Diceros bicornis minor: one gene and its partners. The main gene of each other region encodes a partner of the protein of the gene in region 3 in a complex. Links are inferred from orthologs where the notes say so. Each region holds a gene or a part of one and is shown on either strand. Other genes may lie near its edges.

Region 1 (7,990 bases), on a different chromosome or scaffold from region 3:
AAAGCAAAGATTTCAGTACAATAAACCAGAGACAAATCAGTGTACTCACCATATGAAGATAAATGATCTCTGTGGGAAATCAATTTTGGTTTCATAACTACCTTTTTTCTAGGCAACCTAGAATTTTTATTTCTGCAGCCTAGGAATTGAGAAAGTGTAGCTTTTGAGCTTGCCATGCCTCTAATTTACTGAGTGGTTTTATGGTCAGAAGATCTATGCCTCGGTTTGGTCTAGTTGGAAATGTGGGCAAAGTCATTGTGCTCTAGAGTGACACAATTTCCAGAAATGTTAAAGCCAAAGAGCAAGAGCCAAAGTGGTTTTTACTTGGATGGCAATTGAAATGTTGCAGTGTTGATTCCTAACCTTGTCTTGCTATCCTCTGTTAATCTGTTCTTGACTTGGATGAGCCATCCAACTTTTTAGACAAATGCATGTTCAGCAGATATTTTTTCAGCATCCGTTCAGTAGCAGGCTCCTTGTTCGATGCCAGGATACAACTGTGATCACGATGAGAAGCCTCTGCCCTCAGAAACCTTCCATCTTGTGGGGTGACCCCTTCCCTCTTCTGTCCTAAAATTGCCCAAAGCCTCGGTTTTTACTGTTCATGCTTCACTCATTTATTCAGCAAACATTTGTGGAGCATCTACTAAGTTTCAGGCCCTGTGCTTGGTGTGAGGCTACAATGAGGGGGAAAAGAGACAGGCCCTACCCTCATGAAGCTCCCAGTCCCCGCCTTGATTTAATTCTCTCTCCTGCCGTCACCAGAAAGAAGTCCTTGCTCTCTGCTCCCTCAACACTTAGTTTATGCCTCTTCCTAGCATTTGCATCACTGTAATTATAATACATCTTTCTGTCTCCTTTTAAACCATGAGCACCTTGAAGGCAACAATCTCAACTTTCTTTCTGAGCACCTTGCACTCCCTAGTGTCTAGCACATAGAGGAACTCAATAAATGTTTTTTGAATGAGTAAATAATTGCATGAATTTACAAATGCACAGACCTGTGGAACCATAGACCAGTCTGCCCTGATCTCCCATCCTACATCTCTTGGGTGGGGAACTCAATGATCAATCATCTGTCAGTACTCAAACACTCCTCATGATTTCAAGGACCTTCTAAACATAATACCAGCTGGTCCATGGGTCATTTCCTCTTCCAGAATGGATCTGCCATTGAGAGAAAGAGCAAATACTAGCTTCAGCTTGTGTTTGCAGTACTTTTTTTGCAGGAAAACAAACATGATTATATATGGTTTAAATGAAATAAACTCATAGTAAGGAGAACAAATGAGCTAATTTGTAACTCTTGGATAAATACTGTTAATATAGCTACAGTAAGAAAAAATACAAATACAGTGGCTTAAAAAAGCTAGAAGCTCTTTTTCTCTGTCATGCAAAAGCCCAGGAATAGTCTGAAATCAAGGTTCTGCTCCATGAAATCCTCAGCTCGTGGCACAATCATTCCCCAGGATATGGCTCTTGGTTCAAGATGGGCTCCAGTTGTCACATCCACCTCCACGCAGCAGAATGGGGAAAGAGGGGGAGGAAGGGACAAAGGGCAAACACCAAGTTTCCTGGAAGCTGCCACAGAGCCCTTCAGTTTACATTCCATTGGCCAAAACTTAGTCATATGACCACATATAATTTCAAAGGAAGTTGGAGAAAGTAGTCTTTATTTTGGACACTTGTCCAACTAAAATCTATTTTACGGTGGCATAAAAGGAGTACAGATACAAGGGATACGATTAGAAGTCTCTCTCGCAGATACTAAAACTGAAGTGTTCTTAGTGATTATTCAAGAACTTTTGTACTCTAACTATTGCAAGCTGAAGTCACAATGATGAACTCCAATTGTTCATCCACCATGCTGCGATCATACTTGAACCACTCTAGTTGTCGATACCTAGGAGATAGGAGGAGGAGGTAGAAAGAAAAGAAAGCATTTGCAACAGGGAAATTGAGGAAATGATGGGAGGGGACCAAGGCAGTGGCAACAGGAATGGAGAGGAGGAGGAGTGAAGAGAGAAGGTAGAATCAACAGGACAGAGTGATTGGATATTGGAGGAAAGGGAGGGGGAGGATCTAGAGTGAATCTCAGCTTTGAAAGCAAATTAGATTCTGGTAATTGGACTAAAAAGGGTGGTTTGGAGATTATGTGAGACTGATGGAGTTAACTGCTGCAAATTGACCTGAAATCTCTCCTTCGTCTATTACTTCTGGCCATGAATTTCCTGTCGAATGGGCTAATGAAGTTAATAAACTTCTCCTAGTGGTTAATCTTTCACAAGAAAGATTTCGCAGGTTTTAGTGACTCACCCTAGCCAGCTGTAATGTTCCCTCTCCTAAATCAGTACACTACACGGGACTCCATAAAATTCCGAGTTCTTGAGGCATTCTTATTTCAAGTGCCAGAATTTCTCACTTGAGTAAGCTGAAAATATGGAGAATCTATTCCCTAATCTAGAAAGTGGAGTTGGTATTGCCCTCTTTACAGTTGTGAAGTTTAAAATAGACTGGATGTTTAAAGCAATGCCTGGTTCAATAAATGCTAGTTTCTATCTCTTTCCAAAGTACCTTCTCTTTTTATTCATTCATTCGACAAACATTTATTTGGCAGTTACTACTTTAGACACCGTGCTAAATGTTGAGGCGTAAAGTTGAATGTAGTCATAGAAAACAAAGTTACAATATTTTTTTTTCACTGCTCAATGTTGACGTAAATTCTGATGCTCTACACCAGTGTGCCTGTCCACTGCACTGGAAGTTCCTGAGGACAGGGTACATGCGTGTGTTTGTTACCTTTATATTCCCAGGCCTTAGCACATGTACTTATTAAATGAATGAATATATGACCAAGGTCCAACCCAAAAATCTAAAAGCGGGGCTAGAATCAGAGAACTAGGATGGTCATGGATGTTCAGACATTATTGGAGACAATTCCATGAATGTTGAGTGTCTATTGGGATGCTCCTTCCAAATGGGGCCCAGTGCTAGAATGGCTATTGGAGGAGGGGTTGGGGTTCCTGAGGGGTAAGGTGTGGTTCCTAAAGGGCAAGTGGCTGCAGATGACAATGGTTAAGAGCTTGGGCTCTGGAATCAGACTTTACACATGTAATTATAATAAAGTATGATGAATCTTCCAAGAGGGGACCTCCAAGATCCAAGATGTAAAAGACTATAACAGGCGAACCTACCTAGTCTGAGAATCCAGGGAAGGCTTCCTTGAAGAATCCTATAAATTGCTCACTGCACAACTAAGGGGTTAGCAAGGGTGGAAATATGGCCTGTGCTCCACTCCCCAAGCTGGACACCTTGGCCCAAGGCTGTGTCTGCCCCACAGGAGTTCTTTTGTCCATTCACACAAAGGCTCCACAGTTCACCAAGCCATGCCCCCGCAGTTAAGGACATCTGAAAGCTGAACGATAAGTAGATGTTTTCCAGGCAAAGTTTAGGCTAGAGGGACCAAGGAGGGGAAACAGCATGTGTGAGATCTAAAGAAGTTCTGGTGTACTTGAAGCACTGAAGGGAGTTCGGTGTGGCTGGGCTGTGGAGTTCAAAGGGAAGACTGGCAAGAGTGAGGCTGGACACGTATTCATTACAGTTAGCATTCTCTGTGAGTTTACTAGTTACACTGTGCTAATGGCTTTGCATGCATTATTTTATTGAGATCACAGAGGTTAAGTGGCTTTCCCAAAGTCATATGTTAGGAAATAGTGAAACTATGCTTCAAAGCCAGGTTTAACTCTAGAGCCTGTGCTCCAAACCACTTGTTCCATGGCATCCAAAGATTTGCAAAGGTGGACTGCAAAGGGATAAAACTGAAAGCAGGAAGGCAGTTAGGAAATAGTTGGAGAAATCCAGGTAAGAAATGCTGGTGGACTTAAGAAGGCCTTGTAAATGGGAAGGAGTGGATGGATTCCAGAGAGATTTAGGAGGTAGAATCTACAGAACTTGGTGGTGGTTTGAATATGAAGGGCAATGATGAGAAGAAGGAGGAGGCAAGGATGACACCTTATTTTGTGTCTTTGTGGATGGCTCGTCATCTGCTGAGATAGAAAACAGTGAAGGAGAAACAAGTTTGGGAGGAAGGTGAGTTTAGAGCCTGTCAAGTTGGAAGCACCTCTGGGACATCCAGGTAGAGATGTCCAGTTGACAGTTCAATGCTTGCGCCTCAACCTCAGCAGAGGGTCTGTAGTTAGATACACTGACATATAGTTGGTAATTGACCCACAGGGTGGGTGAGATAGAGTGAAAAGAGCAGAGAGTTCCTACTAGGATAATGGTGCTAAAGCAGAAGGACTTTTCCCCAGATCCAGCTGTTGAGCTTTGTAGAGTATAATCTGACCCTTGATTTATCTGCGTCCTTTACAAGAACTGTTCTTCAAAGGTTTATGGAGTGTCATATTACAAACTGGAACCAGAGATCTATGATGAGGAAGCACAGAAAAGGGGGGCTAATAAATAAAGAATAAGTGGCCTTTTCTGACATTTTGGTTTGATTTAAAGTCAGATTTAAACCTAAATATGACTCATTCTGTATTTTCTATAAGAACATATGTGCTGAATAAAATATCATTAATATTATCATGCTACTACCAGGCCAACTCTGTGCATTATTCATGCATAAAAATGAATGGATTAAAATCTAGTGGCAGCATCAGTGGAGGCCTTAGCTTATCAACGGCCTCTTTAAAATGTGGCCCCTTACAGCTGAACACAGTCCTTCTCCGATACAGGCAATTGAAATTTCTGTACCTTTCATGAAATGCTATAAAAAGAAGACTCCAAGCCATGCCTTCCCCACCTGCTATCCCTCAGCCTCTCTCAATGGAAATTCTGAGCCACCTCTGTTGCACTCATCATAACTACATGGGATTTAGGCTTAGCTGAATTCATTTTGTCTCTCTTTTCTTTTAGAAAGCACCACAGACAGTCTCTACATGATGTGGCTTCTAAAGACTCAAGGACCACCCACCTCACTAGTCTGCAGCGGAGAAGGCAGAAATGGAATTTCAAACACCATGGCTTCCATCTTATTACTAGTTGATCTGTAGACATGTGCCCCCACCACAGGGAGTGAACTGTACCAAGGGGGAAAGTCCTCGGGGCCCCCAAAACACCAGCACTCTTGTCTTCCCCCCTGGAGACAAAGCAGAACTATGGCGTTTTATAGCTGCTGTTTGATCCTCTTGGCCTTTACCTGGTGCTCTTCCGCCTATGGGCCCGACCAGCGAGCCCAGAAAAAAGGGGACATTATCCTCGGGGGGCTCTTTCCTATCCATTTTGGAGTAGCAGCCAAAGATCAAGATCTAGAATCAAGGCCAGAGTCTGTGGAATGTATCAGGTAAGGGAAGGAGCCAAGACTCTCTTCTGGGTGGTTGGAGAAAAGCTGTACTAAACACAAAAGAATTTTTTCAAATTTAGTTCTCTCTTTTCAAAAATCGTGATTGGTGGGGCCGGCCCGGTGGCGTGGTGGTTAAGTGCGTGCGCTCCGCTGCGTGGCCCAGGTTCGGAACCCCGGGCGCGCACCCACGCGCCACTTATCAGGCCATGCTGTGGCAGCGTCCCATATAAAGTGGAGGAAGATGGGCGTGGATGTTAGCTCAGGGCCGGTCTTCCTCGGCAAGAAGAGGAGGATTGGCAGATGTTAGCTCAGGGCTGATCTTCCTCACACACACACACACACACAAAAATAGTGATTGGTACTCATGCTGAATCTTTATTTAAAGAATTTAAATAAATTTTTTTCAAAGAATTTTTTTTAAGGAATTTTTGCCAAAAATAAAATGTCAAAGATACTGAGTAGAAAAATCCATGGCCTGTTGGAGCACATGCCTGGTCACTTGGTAACTGAGTCATCATTGTGGCATGACCCAGGCATCTTCGAAATGCAGCCCATAGAATTTTGGAACCACTCCCATTAGAAAGTCTTTCTTATAGAAAACTGAAATCCCCCTGCTAACACAGAATCCATCTAACACAGATGGAGAAACACAGAATCCATCTAACTCTCTCACTGGACCTCTCTCTTCAGCCATTTGAAGACAGCTAACATGTCCCCTTGAATCATTTCTTTTCCAGGTCAAAGAGTCTCAGTTTTCTAAACAATTATTTCATGACATGATGTCCAGACCCCTCACCATTCTGGATGCCCTCCATCTGATGCTCCCTAATTATCATGACTCTTAGGATATGGCGTCTAAAAATAGACACAATTCCTTCAAATAGGATCTGACTTCTGCAGAGTACAGTGAGCTGTATATCACCTCCCTTAATCTGGACATCAGAGACCATTACTGCACCCCATGTCCTGATCCATCTTCTAGGAGAGAGAAGCTCTTTCTCTCTGAGTCTTGCAACTTCCAGAAGGGATCCAGCACTTTTCCTTGGTCTTCCTGATACCTGGAAAATGAAAATGAAAACTAGGATTGTTCTAAGAAAACTGGATTTCTGTTCACATTCTAATAAGAGCTAGCAAATTAGATAACATTTTCACATTTTTCTTATGAATGCAGAAAAACTAAGTGCAGAGTTTCACTGAGACTGATTATATCCTTCACATAACCTGGGTGGACAAATATCCTCTTTGTTGTACCCTGCTGGACAGAGTTGTGCATGTGCCGTGTATATACCTCTTAATAACTTTGCAAGTTTAAAACAAGTAATTAAACAAACAAATGAAGGAAACGTAAAGAAAATGACTAAGAGAAAATGTCACGTTAACAATTAAACCAGGACTTTTAGGAACCTAAACAACAGATTGTATTTCTGTATTTCTATAACATTGTATTTCTCACCTCCTGTCATTGAGGTCAAGTAGTGAAACCATGATATAAAGAGAGAACCTGCAGAGCTGTTACGTTTTCTCCTTGGGGCACTGATATACTGAATCAGCATGTTTATTGAGCCCTCAGTCTGAGCCAAGTCTTGGGAGAGTGAAAACTATGTCACTGACCTTAATTCTCTTTGTTAATTTGCTTGATTTTTATTTAAAATAATGTTCTTTGAATTTGTGACAACATGGATGGACATTGAGGGTATAATGCAAAGTGAAATAAGTCAGAGGGAGAAGGTCAAATACCGTATGATTTCCTTCATTAAGTAGTAGATAATAACAACAATAAACAAACACATAGGGACAGAGATTGGATTGGTGGTTACCAGAGGGGAAGGGGGGAGGGAGGAGGGTGAAAGGGATAATTCGGTACATGTGTGTGGTGATGGGTTGTAATTAGTATTTTGGTGGTGAACATGATGTAGTCCATGCAGAAATAGAAGTACAATGATGTACACCTGAAATTTTTACAATGTTATAAACCAATAAAAAAAAAAAAAGCAACGCATGCTCATTTTTTAAAAATAGAAAGTATAAATAAAACAAAAGCACATAATTTTAAAACTCATCATTCTACCACCCAGAAATAACCACTGTTTGTGAACAGCCTTCCAATGCATAATATTTGTTTGTTTGTTTACAAAAATGAGATCACTGATTTCCTTTTCCCCTTTGACCTCCAGGAATGTCATAGTCTAAATTTGTGACTCTGCAAATCTGAAGTTATTTTTAGGCTCCCACATATTAAAATCCTAATCTATTTATATTTTCCCTGGTCCTTTTTCTTTTTAAATCTTTATGTTACTTTTATTAAAGAACCTCACATCAGCTACTTCAAATTCTTTTCTGCATGAAGCAGACACAAATTATCTTTCTGTTACTAATAACAACCTTCATTATTATTACTCCCTAACTCTGTTGAGATACCATGCTGAGAGCTGTACATAATCTCATGTTCATAGCCACCCTATGAGGTAGGTGTTATCCCCATTTTACGGAGAGGACTTTGAGTCTCAAAAAACATGACGTCATGAAACCAAAGAGTAACAGAGCCACAGTTCAAACCCAGCTTTGACCAGTTCTTACTCTAAACAGTTGACCAGAAAGCCTTCCATTTCCTTCCATCTCTTCTTTCTTCCAGGTATAATTTCCGCG
Region 2 (7,353 bases), on a different chromosome or scaffold from region 3:
GCCACCGCCCACCGGCCAAGATGGCGATGGGGGACGGAATTATGGGAAATGTAGTTCGCTGGGTCCGACCCCGCATGGCCGCCCCTCCCCCGCAGCGGAGCCCTGTCCCGGGATCGCAGAACTTCTTTGGGGCACCCTCCCAGGGCTGGCCTCGACAGGACGCGGCCCTCTGCACCCTGCAACCTCTGCGTGTACAAACGAGGAAACTCAGGCGTAAAGAGCTAGGAAGTGGGGGAGCCAGTACTCATGATAATAAAGATAATAATAACAGCTGACCCATAATAAGCGTTTCTCGAGTTGGTTCCAGCTGGTGACAGCACCGCGCTCAGCTCTCCTGCAGGTCCTCGCCCTGCGCCACCCTCTGTCCTGCAGATCTCACAGGCGCCATACCTGGCCCACCGCTCTTAAGCGGACCGGGTCTATGTTGTTCCTGCACCCACCCCGTCTGATTTTCTGTCTCTTTCAATCGTCTCTCCCATTCACTTGTTCATTATCTGTCTCCGTCTTCCAGACTGTGAGCTCCACGGGGCCGGGACCTGTCCAGCCCTTGTTCACTGCTGATGCCCAGGGCTGAGTCGGCCTGCTCGGGTTCAAACCCACGTGTATTGGGCAAATTACCTGATTCTTACTGAATTCACAGCACCTATGTCAGACTCATAGTAGGTGGTGGAACGAATGACTGAATGGAAGAATGAATGGCTTTCTCTGTGCTTCCATTTCCTCAGAAGGTTGTGGGGAAGATTAAACAGGAAAATGCATGGAAGGTTCTATGACTGCACTGTTAATTAAGTCACATGAACCCAGGCTGTGTGCTCAAACCCCACGACACAAAGTCTCTACTCAACCCCCCTCCTCCCCTTAGATACCACCCGACAAGGTTGTGCAGCTCCTCTGGGATGCTTCTGCAGATGGCAAGATCACCCCCTGAGGTCCCAAGCAGAGTCTCAGGGTCTGAGAGGCAGTGTTTCTGTCTCAGCCCCTCACAGACACCCGCTCTTTGGAGGCCAGAGAAGCCCTCTGCAGCGGGCAGATTCAGAGAGGGGTTGAGACTGGCCCAGGGTCACACAGCTGGTGCTGGAACCAAACTCAAACCTAGGACTTGAGGCTTACCCTGTAGTTGGGGAGAAGAGACAACAAGAAGGCAGAGGCTGGGAATCGTATGTGTGTGTTGGGGGGTGAGGTGGGCTTCTCGTTGAGGGGCTGAGTGGTGGGCAGGCTCTGTCCAGTGTGGGTAGAGCAGGCTGACGCCTCTTCCCTCCCCAGCCCTCCTTCTGGCCTTAGCCTCCCTTCAGCCAGCCTAAGGGGCCAGGAAAGGGCTGACCCTTGCTCTTACAGATTAGGCAGGAGCCACCCTTTCCCCTGGGAGCCCCATTCCCAGCCTGGGCTCTGGCTCTGAGCCTGGCCTGATGGAAGGAGCAATTTACCCAAGTCCAAATTCCCCACCACACTCCACCTCACCTCACAAGGCAGTCTGCGCTTTCTGAACCCAAGCATCGATTCGGGCCTTGGGGGCACTCATAGTTAAGAGGGGGGATATACCATAGCTTGCTGTGGGAGGAGCCTACAGGCCATGAAGACCTGGGTGACAGCCCCAGCTCTGCCCCCCAGATGCTGTGACCCTGAGCGATGACCTTCCTGTCCCTTCTCCCCTCAGCCCAGTATGAAGTCCTTCTGTCATGTCCAGATTTCAGGGTACCCCCTGGGGGTTCTCTGGGCAGGGCAGGGAGGAGCTGGGGATGCTCTTCCTGACTTGCCCCCTCTCCACCTTCTACGCCACTCCGAGGGCACTCCAAATCCCGGGGGCCCGCTCCCTTGTCCATCCAGTCCCTTCCCACGGCCACTCCCCACCCCCACCCCAGAACAGTTAGTGCAGATGGCCATGATGGCCTGCAGCCTTCTTGGAGGCTGGCTGCCCTGCATAGAAGCTTGGAGTGGAAGAACAGGGTTCAAATCCTGGCTCTGCCCAGCAGGCTAAGAAGCCGTGGTGGGCAATCACTTACCTGCCCTGAGCCTCTTCAAGGGGCTGATCCTACGGACCTCTGGTGGTTGGGGTCTGAGAGCTCGGTGCTCCGGGGCCTGCATCCCAGCCCTTGCTCTCCTGCCGGAACCCTCCTGGGACTGAAGCCTGCGGCGGCAGCGGCTGCTCCTCATCCATCCAGCCTCAGGCTGTGGCCTCCCCAGCCCCACCCCTTCTGGGGTCCCGGCCCCTCTCCACTGGAGTGCAGCTGAGGCTGCTTTCAGCGCCTCCTTGAAGCAGAGGCCCTGGGGAGGGTCCTGTGGGCTGCGACCGCTCCCTTAATTGAGGGTAGAGGCCGGAAAAGCTGCCTTCCTTCCACCATTACTGCTTGCCGAGAAACCCTATTAACATTACCAAGGATGGGAGAAAGTGGCTAAGGAGGAAGGAGCCCCTCTAATGGGGGCTGCCCTGGCCTCAGGAGACATGGGGGTGGAGGGGAGCAGGGGGGAGGCTCAGGCCCAGGAAACAGGCTCCCATCCTGTTTTACAAGGAGCTGCTGCTCAGCGCTTCTAGGAAGTACCCCCATCCGAGGCCCAAGGCCTACAGCTTGGACCCCAACACCCTGGCTCCAGGCCCTGCTAGCCCTGGCATTGGCTGCCAGGCCCCAGCCCCAGAGCCGACCCGTGCCCTTTCCTCCTTCCTCCCTGATGCCCCCACAGCCTGCTAGCCATCCCTTAGATGTCCAGCTGCCTGCAGCCAGGGGACATCTCATATCCATTTGCTTATTTCATCCTCCGAGAACCTCCAGCTTCTAGACAAGGTGACTGAGGCCAGAGAGACTAGGTCTGCTGGTAGACTTGAACCCAGGCCTGCGGGAGCAGAGGCCAGTCTCCACCCTGTATGGCTCTGCCCAGTGAGACCTGGTGGTCCCTGGGTCTCTCAGGGGGATGGCTCTGCTGCTCTGGTGAGACAGGATCACAAGTCCTGTCCTCCTTTTTTTTGTCTCCTCAAGGGCAAGGAGTGGAGACAGGATGTGAGCCAGCCTTCAAGTCAGAGGGCTGAAATCCTCCTACAAAGCTGTGTGGCCTTGGGAAAGTCCCTTCCCCTCTCTGGGCCCCAAGTGAAGATAATAATCACACCCCGCAGGGCCTTAGCAAAACGCAAGTAGCTTTGTTATGTTAGAGTTGGTGTCCAACATGGTGGGGATCTGGAGGACGGCCAGTGCTACGCAGGGCTCCCCTTGGGGGTCTGAGAGCCCGGGGCAAAGGGGCCTGCAGTGCCCGCGCCTCCTCAGCTGACCCCTCCTCCCCCAGAACCAGCTCCATCTCTTTCTGGGTTTCTAGGTGACTTGGCTGGCCCCTCTGGATGAGTTCTACTTTAAACCTGCTGCTGCTACTGCCTCTGTATTGGGGGGGCTCCCACAGGGGCCCCCAGGCAGGAGCCCCCCCAGCCAAGCCCTGCGGGAGGGGCCGCAGTCCCCACCCATCCCAGTGCCCATGCGCCTCCCCCCTCCCATCCCTGGAAGACAGCAGATTTCAGGGCACCTGCTGTGGGCCAGGCCTTGCAGAGCCCCTCCTTAACCCCCCTTGTTAGGGATGCCCACAAGGATTCAGACCCCTTTGCAGTTTTCAGCGGTGAACCTCACAGGGACAGGCTCCAGGTTGGGTCACGGGTGTCTGCGGAACAAGAAGGGGGCTGTTCCAGGGCTCGCTCTGGAAAGGCAGGATGCTTGGGTCCTCAAAGCAGGCTTAGGCGCCCGGCCTCCCCGGGCTAGGGACGGGGGAGGGGCGCCTGCAGGCGCGAGGCCCATTAGCTGGCTAAGTGCTCCCAGGGAGGGGGGACCGCGCTGCTGCAGCAGGGGTGAGGCGAAGTGAGGGCGGGGTGGGTGGTGGGTGGGGGAGCTGGGGGGGGGCAGTGGCTTTTCCTGCACTCATCTAAGTGCTGCAAGAGTGGGGGCGGGCAGGGCTCTATGCCCCCCGGCCCAAGTCTGCCCCTCCAGGAGTCCCCCCGCCCTCGCCCCTCAGAAACCTTAGTAGGCCGGTCTTCATCAGCGCCCTCTACACCCAGTCCCTCCAGCTGCACCCCCAACAGCCCCCTTGGCCTCAAGCGCCCCCCCCCAACCACCCCGGGCGGGTCCGTCTGAGCCCCCAGCACAGCGCCGGGTCCAGGCACGCCCCCGCCCCATCCCGCTCTGGCTGCAGTGGCCGCCCCGGCCGCCAGGGGGAGCCGACGCGGGGCGGGCGGGCCCGACGCGGTGGGAGGGGGCGGTACCGCCGCGGCCCCGCCCCCGGCCCGCCCCGCCCGGGCCCCGCCGATTCTGGTCTGTCCGGGACAGACTGGCGGGCGGGCGGGCGCTGACGCCGCGGGGCCGGAGCGGGCCGCGCGGGAGCGCGCGGAGGGAGCAGCGGCGCCGTCGGTCCCCGTCGGGGCTCCGTGGGTCCCCGGCCCGCCCCCGGCCCGGCCATGGCGGGCGCCAGGCCCGGCGTCCACGCGCTGCAGCTGGAGCCGCCCACCGTGGTGGAGACCCTGCGGCGCGGGAGTAAGTTCATCAAATGGGACGAGGTAAGCGCGGGGGGGCCCCCTGCTCCGCCGGGACCTGGGGACTCCCTCATTCAAGCTCGGCCAGACGCCGGGGACCCCCAGCCCGGCTCGGCCTGGCCAGGGCGCCCCGCCATCCCAGCCTGGCTGCGCTCCGGAAACTTGAGTCCCCAGTCGTCCCCGTAACGAAGACTTTGTCCCCGACCCCCCCGCCCCAGTCCTTCAGCTGCGGAAAATTTGCCTTTCCACTCTTTGACCCCGAGACTTCGAACCCCAATAAATCCCGGCCCCCTTTTTCACTCGCCCTTCCCACCCCTCCCTGCCGGTCTAATCCTGGTTCCCCAGACCGTTGTCCGGCACTGGACTCTCTGGTTCGATGGCCCCCAATCTGGCTCAGTGCACCTTCAATCTGGTTGGGTGCCGCCGGGACCCTACTTTTCCTAGTGCCCTAGCCTGGACATTGTTCTCCATTCATCACTTCACCCTATTCTGGCTGGCACCCCGGCGTCTGGATCCCAGCCCAGCTCCCTGCTCAGGTGGGAGCACCAAGTCACCCCCACTGGAGACTTTGCCCCCCAAGTTCCTCCATCCCTGGGGAACTTTGCTCTCCACTCCTTAGCATCGAGACTTTGAACCCCAATAAATCCTGACCCCTCTTTCTAGCTGCCCTGTCCTGGGTGCTTCCCAGGTGCTCCGGCCCCCACCTGCGGCTCCCCGACCTGGCCCGCGCCCCACCCTCTTTTTCACACGCCCCCTCCTCTGCTCTCTGGGCCCCTCCTTCCCCAGGGCCTCCACCCGGCCTGCCTGAGCTTCCTCGCTGCTCCTTCCCAGTCAGGCCAGAGGCCTGGAAGACTCTGGGCTCCTTTCCGGCTGGGTGGGGCTGGTAGGCGTGGGAGCTGGGGGGAGGTGCTGGGGGCGTGGCCTGGGGCAGCAGGTGTGCCTTAGAGGGGTGCCTGGGAGCCCCAGGAGCCCGGGGAGACCCCTCCCCGCAGGCAGGCCTGAAGGAAAAAGTTTCTCCTTTTCCTTCCAGTGTGATAAACCCAAATAAGGAAGTGGGAACAGGGAGAGGGCCCTGGGGGTGGGGTGGGGGTTGCTGACAAGGACTTGGGGCTAGAGAGGTGGGGGCCTGAGCTGCTTTGAAGGCCAGACCTCTGGGGAGGGGTTGGGGGAGGCCCTGGGGACAGGACCCACAGAACTCCCCCCTCCTCACACTATTGGGGAGGCCTGAGCCCCAGGGCAGGGAATCTCAGAGAGGGGCTGAGGGTGGGTGTCAGCACAGCGAGGTGGGGAGACCCAAGCATCCCCAAAGTTCCGGGGCCGCCTCTCTCCTCTGTCCCCAGATCAACCTCCCGTCCTTTGTAAGCAAAGCCTGAAATGGGTGGGGCTGATGCAACCCCCATTCACCTGAAGAGGAAACTGAGTCTGGAAAGTGGAGACTAATCCCAGGTTGTGGCTGAGGCTGGGGACTGGGAGCCTGGTTCCCTGCTTCCCTGCCACGGGACTCAGAAGAGATGCGAATGCTGGCGCCTCTTCTTGACGTTACTCAAGCTACGTAGCCTCGGTGTGCCTCAGTCTCCTTGTCTGTTGAGTGGGCGCGAACTTCCTCGGGTTGTTAGAGGACTGAGTGAGCTTCCGGATGCGGGAACTGTACTCGGTGCACAGTAGGGGCAGCGTGAGGACGGGCTGTTGTGTTGATGATATGAATGTCCACCAGTGAGCAGTCTGGGGGTGCACCAAGGTGACATGGGGTCCTCTCCTGGCCCGAGGAGCCTGGAGCAGGAGGCTTCTACCTGTGGCCGCCTGGCCACTTGGGCCGTGGCCAGGTCTTAGCCCCTGATGACCCCCCGTGGCTGCTGGCCCTGGGTGTGTGCCAGGGACCAGGCCCTCCTCAGAAAATGGGGCCAGCACACCCTTCCCTGCCCTCCTGCCTGCCACAGAATTCACCGTCCAGTCCTGAGAGCAGGGCGAGTCCCGTTCTGGGGGGACTCAGTCCGTGCTCTGTAAGATGGGGGAGCCGCAAGTCTGTGAGGATCTAGTGGGGTGCAGGGAGGGGGGTAATGGACTTAGAGGCAGATGTAAGGGGTGGCTGGTTGTCGTGGGACCCCGGGGGACACAGAAGGGCTGTGGGAGTCAGACTTCCGAACCCTCTGCTTTTATCCCATAAATATTCCCTAGGGGGTTCAGGGGGGCTTCAACCGTCAGGGAGCTCTCAGACCTTCTGGGGAAACTGAGCCCTGGGCTGGGGTCCGAGGAGGCTTCCACAACGAGATGGGTCAGATTTCACGGGTAGAGAAGGAAGGAGAGGATATCCCAGCAAAGGAACAATGATGCAGAAGCTGGAGGGGGGAGAGGGTAGTCAGTGGTCCGTGTCACAGCCTTAGGGCGAGACAGAGGTGAGGATGGGAGTGACCCAAATGTCACACCTAGGACCTCAGCTTTGTCCTGAGGACTAGGGAGCCACACCGGACCTGTGGGCTGGGTGAGGCTTGTCTTCACTTACTGGCAGAAACGCTGTGGGGGGAGGAGGGTGTGGTTGGCCCCAGGGGTCCAGGGACCAAGCCTGGGCTGCAGCCCCTACTCCCTGACCCCTGCTGTCCCTTCCTGTCCCCAGGAGGCCTCCAGTCGGAACCTGGTGACCCTGCGCGTGGACGCAAATGGCTTCTTCCTGTACTGGACAGGACCCAACATGGTGAGGGCGGGCACTGGTGCAGCTAGCTCAGGTCAAGGGCCCCCACCCCAGACCCCTGACCGCCCCCGAACCCCGGCCCATAGGCGTGGGGCCGAGCTGTGGGCTGACCTCTCCCATGGCTCCCTGGACAGGAAGTGCTAAGGGCAGGGGTGGGGGCTGGGGCTACAGC
Region 3 (7,908 bases):
CTGAATCAAAATGGTGTCATGCCTTAAACTAAAATTTACTTTGAAAATAATTTCATACTGAATTTCATGTAAATATGAGTGATTCCTCAATTTGAATAAAGTAGTTAAAAATATTGGTAAAACTTTCAACTATGCAAGGATACATCCTGTGACCTTCTTTGGATAGGTACGGTTTAAAAGAATGAAGGAACCAGAAGATTCAGTGCACTCATCAAAGGAACACACCGGGAGTTTCTCAAACCCCTTGCCAACACCTTCTCTGGTTCAAGTCAACCATCATTTCTCTCCTGGACTCAAGAAATCGTGCAATCACAGGCTCATGAGCACACATAAATCTACAATTAGTATATAGCATCTACTACATAAATAGTGGAGGTATTGCAGAAGCTATGTTACAAAAGCAACACACCCCAGAACAGGAAGCTGTAGCAATTCTTACATGATGTCTAGGGATAATGTTTCTAACAGAAAGCCTTATAAATTTTAAGTGTTACTAATGAGTGTAGGTGCTAAATTAATGTCATATTTTTCTACCACTTCCAATAGAGCATATTTGGAGGTGGGGATGGGGCTGTATTAAACCTTACTGAAATCTAACAACAGAAAACAAAAGTTCTCCGAACTACCACCACTAGCAGTAAAACTGTTTTACTTTAATTTTTTCTCATAAAATTATCTCCAAGTTCATTTTTTAAAGCACAGTATGTTATTTAAACACACAGTTTGTAGTTAAGCATCCATATATGTGTATTTCCCCAAAAATCCTCCTCCTAGACATTCAAACCTTGGGCCCCCAGACAGACAAACCCCCTGGGCTCTAACGCACAGCTGCTAGGAACCCAGAGCTGTCACATTTTGGGCAATAGGGTTGGCTTGGGAGACCTCAAATGCCCCATTCACAGCAAAACAGAAACAAAGACTGTAAACAGGGCAAAAGAAATAGAAAAACTGTTCTTAAGTCTCTCTAACACACATGCTTTTCCCCTTAATCGTGTACTTAAATACTCTATATACATTTCTCCTGCCCCTTCTATTTTCTTCTCAATCTTGAGAATTCAGAAAACCGATTCAACTACACAGTTTTAGCCATTAGAAGTAGCCCAAAATGAGAATAAAAACGAAAAATAAAAAGATCTTCATTTTCCAATGGCAGTTTTCCCTTCCCCTGGCTTCATTCCCTAAAGCCTACCTCTTTTATCCAGCATTCTGCCTTCTCTTCTTTATAAACATGTGCACATTTATCTAATCTGGTTTCAAAATGAAGACATAGAGCACTGCATGTGAATTAACCATTTGTAACTCTCCATGATCATTATATTTCATTCCTTCTTGTAAATGATCCAGTACATAAGCAGTTCAGTCCCAAAGGCCACTGGTTGCTTGAACCAGGAGATGGAATGCTCAAGATAAGAAAGAAAATGCATGCTTCTCAAATCCTGACAATATAACGTCCTTTTCTTACAGAAATGTCTGAGAAACGTATTTATTACACACCAAATATCCAGAACACAAGTGGAGACATTTTTCAGGCCTGTTATTGCAAAGCTGTTTGCTCTTCCTACCACAATAGCTCAGAGCTGTCACACTGGCTTGTATGTGAACCCTGATCGTTCATTCTGAACATACTCTCAGAGATAATAATCAATAGAATTCCTATCTGAGAAATGGCATTTTCTTGCTAACTTAGTGTTAAGGCAGAATGTGGGATTGTTTTTTTTAAGAGATTAAAGGGAAATTTTTGCTGTATACTTTCCGTTTTCCTTCTAGCCCAGATTCCAAAAATATTAAAATGCTGTCCGTTTTAAACAAAAGGTTTCTATTTGTTTCCACGGGAGTAATTGAGAGGCTGTACTGGTTTTCAGTAGTAACTATTGTGAATTCAGGCCTACATCTGGGTTGCCTCATTAAACAAAAGATACTCGTCGCTGTCAACACACAGCACAACGCTCCCCTATCCCTCATCTTTATCTAGAAGAAATGGTGCAGACGAGAAACACGCCTGTCACCATCCACTGGTCAAGAAACTCTTCTAGGTCTCTCCTTTCGGTGGTCTGGTGGCTGGAGAACAGCACTTATGTGACACATTAGGGCTCGCCTCCCCGCCCCCAGAGTACACAAGCCTCCTTTCTTTGGAGGGCCAACCACTCGGCTCCCTCATCATCACTGCCTGGAGAATCCAGTTGCGAGTCTGCCCACCATTCCACCATTCCCTCCTGAACCCAGAAAGCACTAATAATGGATGCACACAGGCCACCCCACCGCACGCCATCCCCCAACGTACCCTGGCTCCGCTCGCCACCCTCGGGCCACACACACACAACTCCCCACTCCACCACCCCACCGAGCGCTGCGGCCACCACACTGGAAGTTCAACCCCTCTGCCACCTTCCCACCTCCGCGCCTCTCCCCCGAAATGATGTGCCATTTAGCAGAAGCACAGCAGATAAACGCGCACCCCTGATACACAGCCTTTAGGGACACGAAAAGGCACACGCCGAGGCTCGGGGCAGGGCCACCCCGACCCCTTTGCGCGCGCGCCTGTGTATGTGTATGTGTGTACGCGCGCGCGCGCGCGGGTGCGGGTAGTGGCCGGGGGCGCGCCCGGGAAGGGTAGGGGCGAGCCGCCGGCGCCCGGGGGCGAGGGCCGCGGAGGGCACTTGCCCCGGGGCACCGAGGGTGGCAGGCGGAGGGTGCAAAGGCCCGGCGGGTGGGCCCGCGGCGCCCGGCCCCGGGCTGTACTCACCGAGCAGCAGCAGCTTGAGCTCCCGGCGGGCGTCCCGCTTGTCCCTGCGGAGCTGCCGCTCGATCTCGTCGTTGATCCGCCGGGCTTCCTTGGCCTCCTCGCTCAGGCAGCACGCCATGATGGACTCCAGAGTCATTCTTCCAAAGTGCCTCCGCTGCAGCCCCGCCGGCACCCCCTGCTCACACGCGCGCACACACACCCTCCCGCCCTCGCTCCCCCGAGGCAGCGGTGGCCGCCGAGCCCCCGCCGCCCGGGCGCGCGTCCCGGACGAGCCTGGGGAACGGCCGCGGGGGCCGCGGCCAGGGCCGGGGCCACCAGGTGGGCCGGCGGTGCGGCGCGAGCAGGCGGCTCGGGCCGCCGGGAGGAGCGAGGCGGGCGCGGGAGGCGGCCGCGGGCGCTGGCTCGGGGGGCGCGCGAGGTAAGGCCGCTGCGCCCGGCCTCGCTCAGACGCCCGCGCCTCCTTCCCCGGGAACGGGCGGCCCGCCTCGCCCCCCGCGCCGCCGCCGCCGAGGCTCCCCTAAGCCTTGCGCCCGGCGGCGAGAGCACATCCACTGGGGCGACCTCGCAGCGAGCGGCCGCCGACGGCTCCCCGCGCCCGGCGAGCCCGCTCCTCGCCGCCGCCTGGCACGGCTCCGGCCGCTCTCGGCCCTGCCCGCGCCCACCGCCCGGCTCGCGCGCAAACCCCGCTCGCCGGCCCGCTCGCCCGGCCGCCGCGCGCTCCCCGCCTCCGCCTCCGCCTCCGCCAGACGCCCACCCCCGGCCCCGATTGCAGGCGCGGAGCGGCTGCTCAGTGCTCGCCCTCCCCTTCGCCACACACACACATTTTCTTCTTTCTCTGAACTGGAGCACAGATCCGGGAGGGAGGCGGCGGCGGCGGCGGCGGCGGCGGGAGGGGGAGGAGAAGGAGGAGGAGGAGGAGGAGGAGGAGGGGAGCGGGGAGGCGGTGCCGCCCGGCCCCTCCTGGAAAGCTTTCCTGGGCTCGCAGCCGCGGCGCGCGCCTCCCCGTGCGCCTCTCGCCTCTCCCGCGCTGCTCCCCGGCTGGGCCGGGCCCCCAGGGCTCGGGGCGCCTCCCGCTCCCGCACCCTCGGCGAGGTCCGCGGGCGCAGCGGTCACGGCCGCCCCCGGCGGGGATGGGGCGGGGTCGGGCCGCCGCGCCACAGCCCGGACCGGCGGCCGCTGCCGCGAGCCGGGGCCGCCGCCAACCTGCCGCTGCCGGCGGCCGCCCGGGCGTGGTGGAGCAGGAATATGGCGGCCTCCGCTTGCCTTTCAGCCCACCAGCCCCGGAACGCGGCCCCGGCCCTCCGGGAAGTCGCGGGATTCGGCCCCGCGCACCCCCTGCCCCCCTGGCGCCGCGCACCCCCGTCCTACTCCCCGCGGGCGGCCGCGGCACTCGGGACCCCCCTCCCGGCAGCGCCGGTCAAGCCCCCGGGGCCGCTCTCAGCCACTTCAGTGTTGTCTGCCGTCTCTATTCCTAAAACGCCATGCGGTTAGCAAGTATCTCGCGTCACCTCTGACCCCAGTTCAGTCGCAGAAAATAAGATACCCTCTTGAAGTGCGACTGGGGAAAAGGAATTGTCACTGGTTGCTGGAGGGGTGGGGGGAGCTTAACAGGCAAAACTGGCCACAAAGTTCCTGGAGATAGAAATCTAAATCCTGAGCAGAAAAATGAAGCTGCCCAGGTTTCCAAGAGCCTCCTGATAGCTTCCAACTTTTCATGCCATGGAAGGTGTTTTTGTTTTGTTTTGTTTTTTACAAGCGTTCCTCTATTTTTGAAAAGGCACACGATGTTTAACAGCCAAGTAATCGAATTTACCCTTCTAGACCGAGACTGAATTATGGATGACTTCTGGGAAAATGCAAAATAATGTGAAATAAAATAAAAGGAAAGAACAAAAGAGAGAAATGGGAAAGCCAAGATCGCCCGGGCAAAGTTTCATCTAGTATTTTGTTTTTACACTTGCGTTGCAGACTACTTAAAACTGTTGTTTCCTTATTTTGTTGTGATATACGACTGATAAATGGCCAAAAATATCTCCTTGCTCATTCAGGTTTTTTTTTTTTTTTTTTGGATCTAATAGCTACAAGACGTGAAACTCATACTGCTTTCTGCCTTAATGGAACCTGAGGTCTTGAGAGTAAATTATATGTTAAGAATGGAATCTCTTTTACACATTTTGTGTTTTCTCTGAGATGTCTCTGGTGCAACCTGCTGATCCAGGGTGTAAAGTAAGGTCATGATTGTACTATTGCCACAGGTCAAGAGTGCACATAAGCTTCCTGAACCACAGCTGTGTGACTACCTTCTTTCATTTGCCATTACCTTTTACCCTTCATACACACACACACACTCACTCTAAGCCAGAGCTTAGATCAATCAAGTCATCGAGACATAAGATCTGTATTTTAGGCTCCCTTTTTAAAAGGATATTTGGCCTACAAATGATTACATTTCACCTTGGCCAAAAGAGCAGAAAGGACAACCCTCACCCCCCTTCATGTGAATGCCTACAAAAAGCCACTAGACTTGCTGTGAAGTTTAAAATTAAATGACCAATGAAATTGAAGATTGAAATTCAATATGCAGAAATTTTAAATGGCTTCAGGGGAAAAACTTAATTATAAGTTTGCATCCTCTAATAGATGGATATATGTGAGCTTCAGAGAGAGACAAAACACCAGAAGATAACATGACAGTCAGGAAGCTTCAAGTGTCTGGTTTCCTAGCCAAGGATCCCCTGAGATTTTTGAAAATGTCTCTCAAACTGTGCCATGAAGCTATCAGGTAATCCATTTTGACTCAATTGACCTATTTTTTGATGAAAGGAATTAAACTGTTTCAATAGATTGTAGATACAGTCAAAGTCTGTTCTGTCACCCCTGTATCCCTAGCATCAGGGGCATTCCTTGGCACTTAGATATTTGAATGGATAAGACAAATCAATAGAAGGATGTTCCTTCAAGTATTGGGAAGAAATCAGGACGTAAGGAAAACCAACACTTGACAGTGATAAAGCCATATACGGATGTCAAGAAGGAAACAGGAAAAGAAAATTCCAAGTCTGAGCCCAGATCTATCCAGAAACCTTTGCATATATATCTGGAAAGGATTTGCCAAGGAAATATTCATACAACCTAAGTCAAGCAAACAAAATCTACGAAGAAACTACTGCAGTTGTGGACCATGTTTTAGAAGCAAATACTCTAAAATATGCAACTAAACATGGATCATGTTACCAGTCCCAGTTCATGAAATCAACAAACATTCATTGCCTACTATGTGTAAATAACTAAGGTAAAAGTGCAGGAAGAGGGAGGATACTAAGATGAATACAATATGGTCCTTGCCCTCAATAGGCTTATAGTCTTACATCATTATGAGGCTTTGCACAGCTATAGTAAAAGACAAAATGAAATCAATTTATATTAAAGTTGGCATAGAAGTAACAATATAAAGGTATAAAAAGGAAGGAATAATTCATTCTGTTCAGGAGAACTGGAGAAGACTTCACAGGAAAGGGAACTTTTGGATGCGTCTTAAAGAATGAATAGGTATTCAATAAATGTGTATCCACACCACTAAACAGTAAATCAGCAATTCCAAATCACCCCCAGTAAGATGATAAACCATTTTGAGGATTCAAGGGCAATTACTAGATAGCTGAAAAGCCAACCACAAAACCCTAGGAGCACTGAACACCAGAGGAAAATGGGAAGACTGTCACCTCTTCTATGGTATCCTGAGACAGATACCTATCCCCATGATCATATGGCCCTGTTCCTTGGGTGCTGGAAAAGAAAAGCACCAAAAGGCATAGCTGAGTCTCTAAGAGTGATCCTAGAGTAAAAGAGTGGAAAGGCCATACTCTTCTACAAGGAGCTCCTGGGGAAGGAAAAGCTTGCACTTCTGTTCCCAGAGTCACTTAGCGTGGCTGTTCACAGCGTGCACTGTACGGCTGTAATTGTCGATTTCTCTCTCGCTCCCTTCCTCTCTCTCTCTCATGAGATTCAGAGCTGCTTGAGAGCATAGACCTTGTTTTTCATAACTGTTTTCCGGGCACCCAAAAGAGTGCCTAGCCCAACAGTTTCTCAGTGAGTGATGAATAAACAAAAGAATACCAGAACCTGCATCCACAGCACACACACTCACAGACTGCTGTCCCAGGCAGTGCACTCTGCCAGACGCCTGAGGCAGACAAGGCCCTTACAGGCTTAATCATCTATTTGGGCAGACAGTCCACATGCACAGAAGAATAAACAACAATGTGAAATGGGAAGCACTCGCTGCTAACATACAGTATGAGAATGGATTGCTGGAGGAGTTCAGAAGAAGGAGCAGTTATCCATTCAAAGCAGCCCGAAGGAGTAGGGGTCACCTGAAAGAACAATTAGAAGTCAGCCTGCAGCACTGCACATCCTGCGAGAGCTTGCTGGCACAGCTGTCTGGCCAAGGAGTAGAGGCCTTGCTGGTGGGGAAGTCAGGCGAGCAGGCCCAGGGAGACTGAGAGAGCTGCAAATGGCACCACCTAGAGGACAGCTTTCATAGCAGAAAGATGATGATTCTTAGTTGAAAAAGGGTTTCAGGGTCAACATGTTGAAGATGAAAGACCAGGCATGAAACAGAATACCTTCTTCCAAAAGAGAAAACACTCACCCTGCAAAGCCACCAAACAGATATTCTAGATAAAGCAGAGGACCTCAATGACATCTTTCCATTACCACCTCAGAAATGCGTCCAAATGATGCTCTGACCAATCCGATGTACCTATTCTGGGCTCATCCCAGGTTACCGTTATCACAGGAGCCACTGTACCTCACAGTGTAAAGGCTATCAAAGTCCCATCAGACTGGAAGTCCCTAAAAAGTTGTCCAGATGGGAGCTATTTTTAAGCTAAGTAGACCAATGTCTCAGCCAGAGAAGGCATTTACTAATGTTTAATGAATGAATGAATATGTACCAAAATCAGATAGCAACATATCGGGTCACCCCAAATCATGATCCAGATCCTTCTGGCACCCAAAGAATCAAGGATGACTTCGCTAGTAGAGGAGTTTCCTTCCTGCCCTGGAGTTGCTCCAAGTGGGAGCCACCAGACCTCCGACTCTCTGCTTTGCTAGACTCCCACCTAAGACCCAGGGTGCAAACTGGTGGTCTTTGGGCTGAAGAA
Region 4 (7,111 bases), on a different chromosome or scaffold from region 3:
GGCATAGTGGTTAAGTTTGCATGCTCCACTTCGGCGGCCCAGGGTTTGCCAGTTCAGATCCTGGGCACAGACCTACTCACCGCTCATCAAGCCATGTTGAAGTGGTGTCCCACACAGAAGAGCTGGAAAGACCTACAACTAGGATACACAACTATGCACTGGGGCTTTGGTGGGGAGGGATTTTCTTTAAATAAATAAATAAATTTTAAAAATTATGATACATCCTCCTATAACATACTTTAGAGTCATTAAAGATGTTTTATATTTACTGACATGCTACTGATGTTTATATAATTCCAAACTTGTACAAAAAGATTTTCTATATTTTTCAGTACATATTTTATGCATGGATATATGAAAGCATGGGAAAGGATATAGACCAAAATGTTAGCAGTGGTTACTTTGGGAACTGAGGTGACTTAATTAAATTTCCCCCCACTTTTTGGCTCATTTTTCCTCTTCAGTCAACACACATTACTTGTATAATTAAAAATCAATTATAAAGAGAAGTTTCAGTCTCCAAAAGAAAAATGGAATTACTGCATTATAGGGGACCTCCCAGGCTGATGACACGGTAGAAAACAGTAAGTGCCTGAAACAAGCCGACTGAAGTGCCAAACAGCCATCCACCTGCCAGGTCACTGGGCAAGTCCCCTCACTTCATTCTTTATCTGGTATTTACCAAGGTCCTTTAGATAATGAGATTGTGCTGGACCATGGTGATGGAGAAGATGCTAGAGTCCCCGGCCTCCCAGAATATATGATCCAGTGGCGAGACAGATTAAACATATTTACACAAATAATTATCAATTACTGTTGTGATGGGAAGGAAAGCAGGGGCCTGACGGGGTGTTTTCCTTGCCCCCCATCAATTCAATGGCCCTGTCTGTAAAACGAGAAGGTGGTACTCCAGGCTGAGGTCCCTGCCATGAGGTAGTCTTCTGGGGTGAGACCTTTGGGAAGAAAATCAAACCTAATATCTGCCCTGTGGCAAACTGAGGAGCAGGCCTGCGAGTCAGGCTGAAAGTGGATGAGGAAACGGGTGCCGAGGGGCAGAGAAACTCTGGTGATGCTGTATTTCTTAATCAAAACCAACCTAGTTTCAACTTGGGAGGAAGCTCCATCTACCGAATGTCTCACCATTAATTAGCTTACCCTTTAGCAAAGTTAACTGCAAAGGAATAGAAGTCTGAAGGAAAAACAAAAAAAAACAAAAAAAAAAAACAAAAAAAAAACCAAGCTACAATATTAAATAGCTCTGGTTAACAAGTAATTTGATTTTTTTGCTGTTAAATCAAGTTCACCTTATACTCCCCTGCCTCTCGCTTTGTAAACAAGAACAAGCCAAACACTCAGGGGCAGCTTCCCATAGGAACTGTCTGAATCATAAAAGCGTTCAATCACCTACATTCACATGTTTTTAAAAAATGTTTGCATATACTAAGTTTTGCTCCTGAATTTTAAGTTTCCAACTTTAAAAGACAAAGGCAAACGGAGAAGTGTTCATCACGGTTTCAATACTTCCCCGAAATAAATGCCTTTCCTGTTGCTGATCAATAAAATGTATACAGTGGGCAGTTTTCAAATATACAGCATAACATCCTATTCCGTAACTCCGGGGGGAAAAGAATCATACTCTTCAATCCAACTGAAATTCACAGTGATCTGGTCTTTTTAAAACGTCTTCATGAAGAGGATAAAAGTGAGAAACTGCCTTTTCCAGCAGGTCTGCAAATTTCGCAGGGAAATTAAAGCCTCCCTTATAAGGCCACCCTGGCTCCCCGAAACCGCGGGGCGTCCGTTAGCATCACAGAAGCTTGACCTCAGGCCAAACCTCCCCCACGCCCTCAGAGGCCTGCTCAGGCCGGGAGATTCCACCCCCAGCAGGACAAGTTGGAGCACACCCGGGGCAGCCGCCCGCGGATCCGGCCGCCGCGCACAAGCTGGCACCGGCGCACCGCCCGGACGGCTCCCGCGCTGTTCCGTGCCCGGGGCTGACAGCCTCCGGCCTGCAGCCCTGAGGGGCCGCCAGTGCACGCTGCGTGTGCCACGGAAGGACCCGGAGGCCCAGGCCGTAAGGTCACCTGGTCGAATACGAGGCAGGGTCCAAGAAGTTCCATTCGTAAACCCGCGTGACGCCCAACTGGCCTAAAACTCGAGGCTGAGCGCGCGTCACCCCGAGAAGCCAGCGGGGGCCGGCCCCGACTTCACACCCGGGCCGTCCACGGCGCCAGAGGAGCTGCGGGGCCCGGGCGGGTCTCGAACGCCGTGGGCCGACCCCAAAGAGGGGGCTCCGCAGGTTGAAAGGGTTGCAAAAAGCGAGATAGAAGGTTCCAGGCCGCGGGCTCCCCCCCACTCCACCCCGCCCTGAGCCATCACCTCGCTAACTGCAGGGGTCCCACGGGGCCAGCCTGGAGGAAGTCGCCGGGGTGCGCGAAAAGCTCCTAATGACTTAGTGTTTGCAAAGAAGCCACCCCCGGGGAGGAGGCTGAGCCCTCCGGGGACCCGCGAGCTCTCCGTTCCCTCCTCTTCCTCCCCGCCGACTTCAGCCTCCCCGGTTGTCCCAGCTGGTGCTCCCCGGGCGCAGGATCCCCCCATCAAAGCCGCCGAGCGGAGGCTGCGGGACGCGGCGAGGCGGCGGCGGCGGCGGCAGCAGGACACCCTGCGCGCACCTGCCCCGCTTCCACCACCTGCCCAAGGCGCCCGGGACCCCGCTCCCTAGCGGCACGAGCCCCCCTCGGCCAAGTCTCTCACCTGGGACGGCGCGATTGCAGGAGGCGGAGGCCGCCAGCAGGATGGCCCCCCCCAGCAGCCACGCCGCGCTCGGACGTCGCATCCTTGCAGCAGCCCCGACGCCCGGCGGGCGCGCAGTTCGCTGCCACCGATTCGAAACTCAGAGCCCGCTCGCCGCGCGGAGAGAAAGCCACCTTCCACCTGCCCCTAACGGGAGCCTCTGCGCTCGCCTCCCCAGGGCCGGAGAAGTTGCAGCGAAACCAGAGCCGCTCGCCGCACCTGCGCGAGGCCACGCCCCGGGGCCGCCGCGCCGCGAGGCCACGCCCCCCGCACAGCGGGCGCCCGGCCGCACCCGCCGCCACCCGGCTGGGCGCCCCGGCCTCCGCACCCCTGCTCCGCGCTCGGTGCCGAGCTGCGTCCGCCAGGCTGCCGGACCCGCCCGAGGGCGGGCTTGGGCGGGTGAAGTGGCTGTGTTGGAATGCAAATGGCAGGAGCGCTCGGATCGCGGGGTCATCCTGGCCTGGGCAACGCCTAGAACTACCTTTAACCTTTCGTTGATCCAGGGGAGCCAGTATCGTCCATCTCCCTCCCTCCCATTTCCTACATGGCCAAAAGTCAGACTCGAGCTCACTGCACTTGTTGTAGCTGATAGAGGCTTCCCAGTGTGGTGGGCACTGTCGGATGAGGGGGCAGTTTCTAATCTGTTGGGGCAGATGGACGGCTGCGGACACCAACGGTGGGGAGCAGGAAGGGGTCCCGGCGGGAGGGGTCAGGGATCTGGGGTTAGGTTTCCAACTGTGCTAACTAGCTGTGACCTCGAACAAACCTCTCCACCCCCTTCTAGGCCCATTTCCTCGTCTGTGAGGTGCAGGGCAGAAAACAGTTCGAACAGCTACTTTAAGTGCCATGTGCTAACGATTTAGGAGCACTGTCTAGTTTAATCCCGACGCACAATATGTGTGATTATTATTCCCATTTTACAGAGGAGGAAATGGAGCTTAGGTTGGATAAATTGCCGACAGTTACTCAGTTTATAGATACAGTTTGTAAACCTCCATCACATTTAAACTGTAGTCTATGACTGCCACTTTCTTCTATTAATCACTGCGCTGCAAATGCTTCCACCGGGGTCTTTTCCGCATGGGGACCCCTAGCCTAAAGAAATACACAAGCAGATAGAGGGGATGGGGAGAGGAGTGAGGGACTGGGGAGGGTGCACAAGGGCCTTCATCATATTGGTAATGTCTTACTTTTTACTCGCTTTGAAAAGGTAAAATAAAGTTTACTGTTATCCATTTAAACTGTTGGGCAGCGGAGGAGCAGAAAAGAGAAAGGCAAGTGTTGTCTTCAGATATTTGAAGGATTAGCATGTAGAAGAGGATTAGATGCTTTCTGAGTAGCTCCAGAGCAGAAACAGGTGGAAGCCACAGTGGGAGGCCGATTTTGGCTCAGTGTAGAAAGAGATTTCTAACTGGGGAAGCTGAGGTCCACACGGCTGCACGCTTGCCACCAAGGACCAGGGCATGGGTCCAGCATGTTGGAGAGGGATTTCCCTTCCAGGCTTAGGGGCCAGATTGGGTGAGTCCAGATAACCTCTTGAGGGGCTTGAGCCCTGAGAGTCCATGATTCTTCCCAGAAGACCTGAGTTTGGTGAGTCAGTTGCCAGTGACCATCATTAATTTTTGAACAACCATAAACTGAACAGCCACAATCTTGGGCCTGTGAGTTTCTAGGATGGAGCCTACATCTGATAAAGGCCCTGTGTCCTCTGTATGACCTCTTGCTGAACCCACCATGGGGCCAATTAACAGAACTAATGTGGGTTCCAGATAATTCAGGCAGACAAAATTGTATAAAATGTCATGTTAGCCAGTTGTTTCAACCATATCCCCAATCATTTCCCCAAAGTTACCTAAGGGGACGGTTAGCATTATGCCTCTTCCCTCTGCCCTGACAGAGGAGCTCACAGAGCAGGGAAATAAATGGTTGAAAAGGAAGAGAAGGAAATGGCCCTGAACACGCCATGAGAATGGAATAATTTCTCCCTGCCTAAGAGGAATGGCCTGCCTCCCAACACACACAGACAAGAATGGCCAGGGAAAACTGTCTGGTGAATGAGACAATTCTCTTCAATGGCTGCCTTTCAGTAGGCCCATCTCTTAGGAATCTCTCATTGCCGTGTCTCCAGTGAGTTCTTTTGGGAATGTGGAAAGAGCTTAGCCTTTGAAACCATGTAACCCTGTGGGCAAATTCTGGCTTCTCCTCTGGCTAACATCTGTGTGACCTTGGACAAATTACCTACCCTTTCTAAGGTTTAGGTTCCTTACCTATAAAATGGAGTTAATTATTGTTAGGTTAAAGTTGTCTGAGGATAAAGTAAATTGTGACTGTGCTTGATGCACGATAGAAGTTCAACAAACATTCTATTTGTTTCCTTCCTTTCTCTCAGGAGTCTTCACGACCTGCACTCCAGCTCTCAGGATGCTGCCTCCCAGGCCACACGCCTCAGCCTATGCCCAGGAAAAGCTGGCTTCTAGAAGCAGCTCTGGGGACTGCCTCATCCTATTGTATGACAGTTCTCCTGATGGGGATCAGGTCACTCCTGAGGGTCCCTCACTAGGGAAGATACTCAATCCCTATGATGTCCCTTCGATCTTCCTAAGCCTCCATTTCATCATCTGTGACCTATTATTATGACGTCTACAATCTGGGGATGATGATATGGTCATACCTTTCTTGGAGGGTGGTTGTGAAGATTCAGGTTGCTAAATGCCCGTGAAGACTTCTTAGCACAGTTCTTGGTATCTGGTAGGCACTCAAGCAATGGTGGCTCCTGTAGAATGACTGCCCCAATGACTCTTCCTCTTCTCAGAGAAGAATGCATCAAGTCCAGCTGTTTTCCACTTTAATTTTTCACTGGTATCCTATGGAAATATGTCCTGAATCATCAGAATTTCCAAGAAAATATTTTATTGAACAATGCTATGAGTTCATTATCTCAAGAATGTGATTGCTCCCAGCAGCCTGACTAAATGAACTACATTCATCTGAGTCACTTGGCAGAAGTTTTCCTGTGACAGTATTTGTTCTTTAGATATTGATGACTCCTTTGCCCTGAAGGCCTTGGGGTGTTGTCTGGCTCTGTGAACAGTACAGCAAAATGACCCCTGGGCAATTCCAGACAGCCTGGCTTCTGGGAATTGAAAACTTTGTCAGTTTCCCACCTTCTACAAGTCTAAGGAAAATACAGTTGGAACTGGGGAGGCCAGACACTGAGGGAAAAGTCATTTCATTCAATCAATTCTACAATCATTTATCAAACTCATCAAACTCTTCCTGGAGAAACAAAGACACAGTTCCTGCACTCTTGGGTCCTAGTCAAATACAGAGGGAGGAAAAGTTACATTCATTCAGTCACTCATTCATTGTGCTAACCTCTGGAAGAGGTTAGCAGTGACCTTCACGTGGTGAATCCTTTGGTCAATTCTCAGTCTTCATGTTATTCAACCTGACAGTGAAATTTGACACAACTGATCTCTCCCTCCTTGAATGCTGTGTTCACTTGGCCCCCAGGACCACTGCTGTCTTGCTTCTGCTCCTACCTCACTGGCAACTCAGAAGGTGTTGGTTCTTTTCCGGCTCTCACTCACCTTCCTGAACTCTACATCCTGGAGTGCCCCTGGGTTTCTCCTTGGACTTCTTTTGTTGGCAACATGCACTCATTTCCTTTGGTGACCTAATCCAGTCCTGTGGTTTTAAGTACTATCTATATGCTGACAACTCCCAAATTTGTATTTCTATCCCAGATCTCTCCATTCTAGACACATAACATATCCATCCAGCTACTGAACATCTCCACTTGCACGTGACTATAGGCATATCAAGCATAAGTCCAAAACTAAATTCCTGATCCACCCCACGCCTCTCATCATCTTCTCATCTCCTTAGATTGCAACTCCAACTTGCCAGTTGCTCTGATAAAAATCTTGGAGTCATTCTTGACTTCTTTCTCTTATATTCCACATCTGATCTATCAGCAAATCCTACTTTGACAACACGTCCAAAATACTGCCATGGTCCAAGTTATCATTATCTTTTGCCTAGATTATTACAATAGCTTTGTAACTTGTCTTCCTTCTTTTGCCCATGACCCTCTGCACAGTCATCTCTTAATATAGCGGTCAGAGTGAACCTGTTTAAATGTGCATCAGATCAGATCACTTCCAACTGAAAATACTGAAGTAGCTCCCCACTTCCCTCTGAGTACAAACCAAAGTCTGTCACAGGTTTATACACCCCGCCCTCCTCCCCTGTACACACACACAACCTCCTTGACTTCATCTCCTATATTGCCCTCACTCATTCTGTTCCAGCCGTG

The links.
Region 1: the proteins of GNAQ (region 3) and CASR are in contact, whole or in part, in a cryo-EM structure (PDB 8SZG), measured with the Homo sapiens proteins. The link is inferred for Diceros bicornis minor from reciprocal best matches to the Homo sapiens genes GNAQ and CASR. Residues at the interface, in NP_002063.2 of Homo sapiens: His63, Leu196, Gln197, Ser198, Ile323, Tyr325, Ile337, Arg338, Phe339, Phe341, Ala342, Lys345, Asp346, Ile348, Leu349, Gln350, Leu351, Asn352, Leu353, Glu355, Tyr356, Leu358, Val359; in NP_000379.3 of Homo sapiens: Lys644, Ala645, Asn647, Arg701, Val702, Leu704, Val705, Phe706, Ala708, Lys709, Ile710, Pro711, Thr712, Phe714, Phe801, Arg873, Thr876, Ala877, His879, Ala880, Phe881, Val883, Ala884, Arg886, Ala887, Thr888, Leu889.
Region 2: the proteins of GNAQ (region 3) and PLCB3 are in contact, whole or in part, in a cryo-EM structure (PDB 8UQO), measured with the Homo sapiens proteins. The link is inferred for Diceros bicornis minor from reciprocal best matches to the Homo sapiens genes GNAQ and PLCB3. Residues at the interface, in NP_002063.2 of Homo sapiens: Pro185, Thr186, Thr187, Ile189, Glu191, Pro193, Arg202, Gln209, Arg210, Ser211, Glu212, Arg213, Arg214, Lys215, Trp216, Ile217, His218, Val240, Glu241, Glu245, Glu249, Glu250, Ala253, Leu254, Arg256, Thr257, Ile258, Thr260, Tyr261; in NP_000923.1 of Homo sapiens: Pro257, Arg258, Leu259, Asn260, Glu261, Val262, Leu263, Arg707, Asp709, Lys710, Ile719, Asp721, Gly722, Ile723, Val724, Ala725, Ser845, Asp846, Tyr847, Ile848, Pro849, His852, Tyr855, Ala856, Ala858, Leu859, Ile860, Asn861, Pro862, Ile863.
Region 4: the proteins of GNAQ (region 3) and F2RL1 are in contact, whole or in part, in a cryo-EM structure (PDB 9D0A), measured with the Homo sapiens proteins. The link is inferred for Diceros bicornis minor from reciprocal best matches to the Homo sapiens genes GNAQ and F2RL1. Residues at the interface, in NP_002063.2 of Homo sapiens: Arg37, Ile323, Tyr325, Asp346, Ile348, Leu349, Gln350, Asn352, Leu353, Glu355, Tyr356, Asn357, Leu358, Val359; in NP_005233.4 of Homo sapiens: His108, Pro109, Ala110, Met114, Gln172, Arg173, Val176, Ile177, Pro180, Met181, Gly182, His183, Ser184, Arg185, Met265, Met268, Leu269, Met274, Asp275, Asn277, Lys280, Lys281, Arg284, Ala285, Leu288, Ile289, Tyr344, Tyr345, Val347, Ser348.

Annotation. Positions count from the first base shown.
Region 1 is NC_080754.1:23,112,368-23,120,357, forward strand, and holds the start of CASR (extracellular calcium-sensing receptor), read left to right. Parts: upstream 1-4,977; 5' UTR 4,978-5,159; coding exon 5,160-5,344; intron 5,345-7,976; coding exon 7,977-7,990. UniProt on the Homo sapiens protein: G-protein-coupled receptor that senses changes in the extracellular concentration of calcium ions and plays a key role in maintaining calcium homeostasis.
Region 2 is NC_080770.1:8,734,921-8,742,273, reverse strand, and holds the start of PLCB3 (1-phosphatidylinositol 4,5-bisphosphate phosphodiesterase beta-3), read left to right. Parts: upstream 1-4,348; 5' UTR 4,349-4,420; coding exon 4,421-4,519; intron 4,520-7,106; coding exon 7,107-7,184; intron 7,185-7,353. UniProt on the Homo sapiens protein: Catalyzes the production of the second messenger molecules diacylglycerol (DAG) and inositol 1,4,5-trisphosphate (IP3).
Region 3 is NC_080761.1:16,150,975-16,158,882, reverse strand, and holds the start of GNAQ (guanine nucleotide-binding protein G(q) subunit alpha), read right to left. Parts: upstream 3,005-7,908; 5' UTR 2,880-3,004; coding exon 2,744-2,879; intron 1-2,743.
Region 4 is NC_080740.1:5,975,868-5,982,978, reverse strand, and holds the start of F2RL1 (proteinase-activated receptor 2), read right to left. Parts: upstream 3,013-7,111; 5' UTR 2,837-3,012; coding exon 2,755-2,836; intron 1-2,754. UniProt on the Homo sapiens protein: Receptor for trypsin and trypsin-like enzymes coupled to G proteins.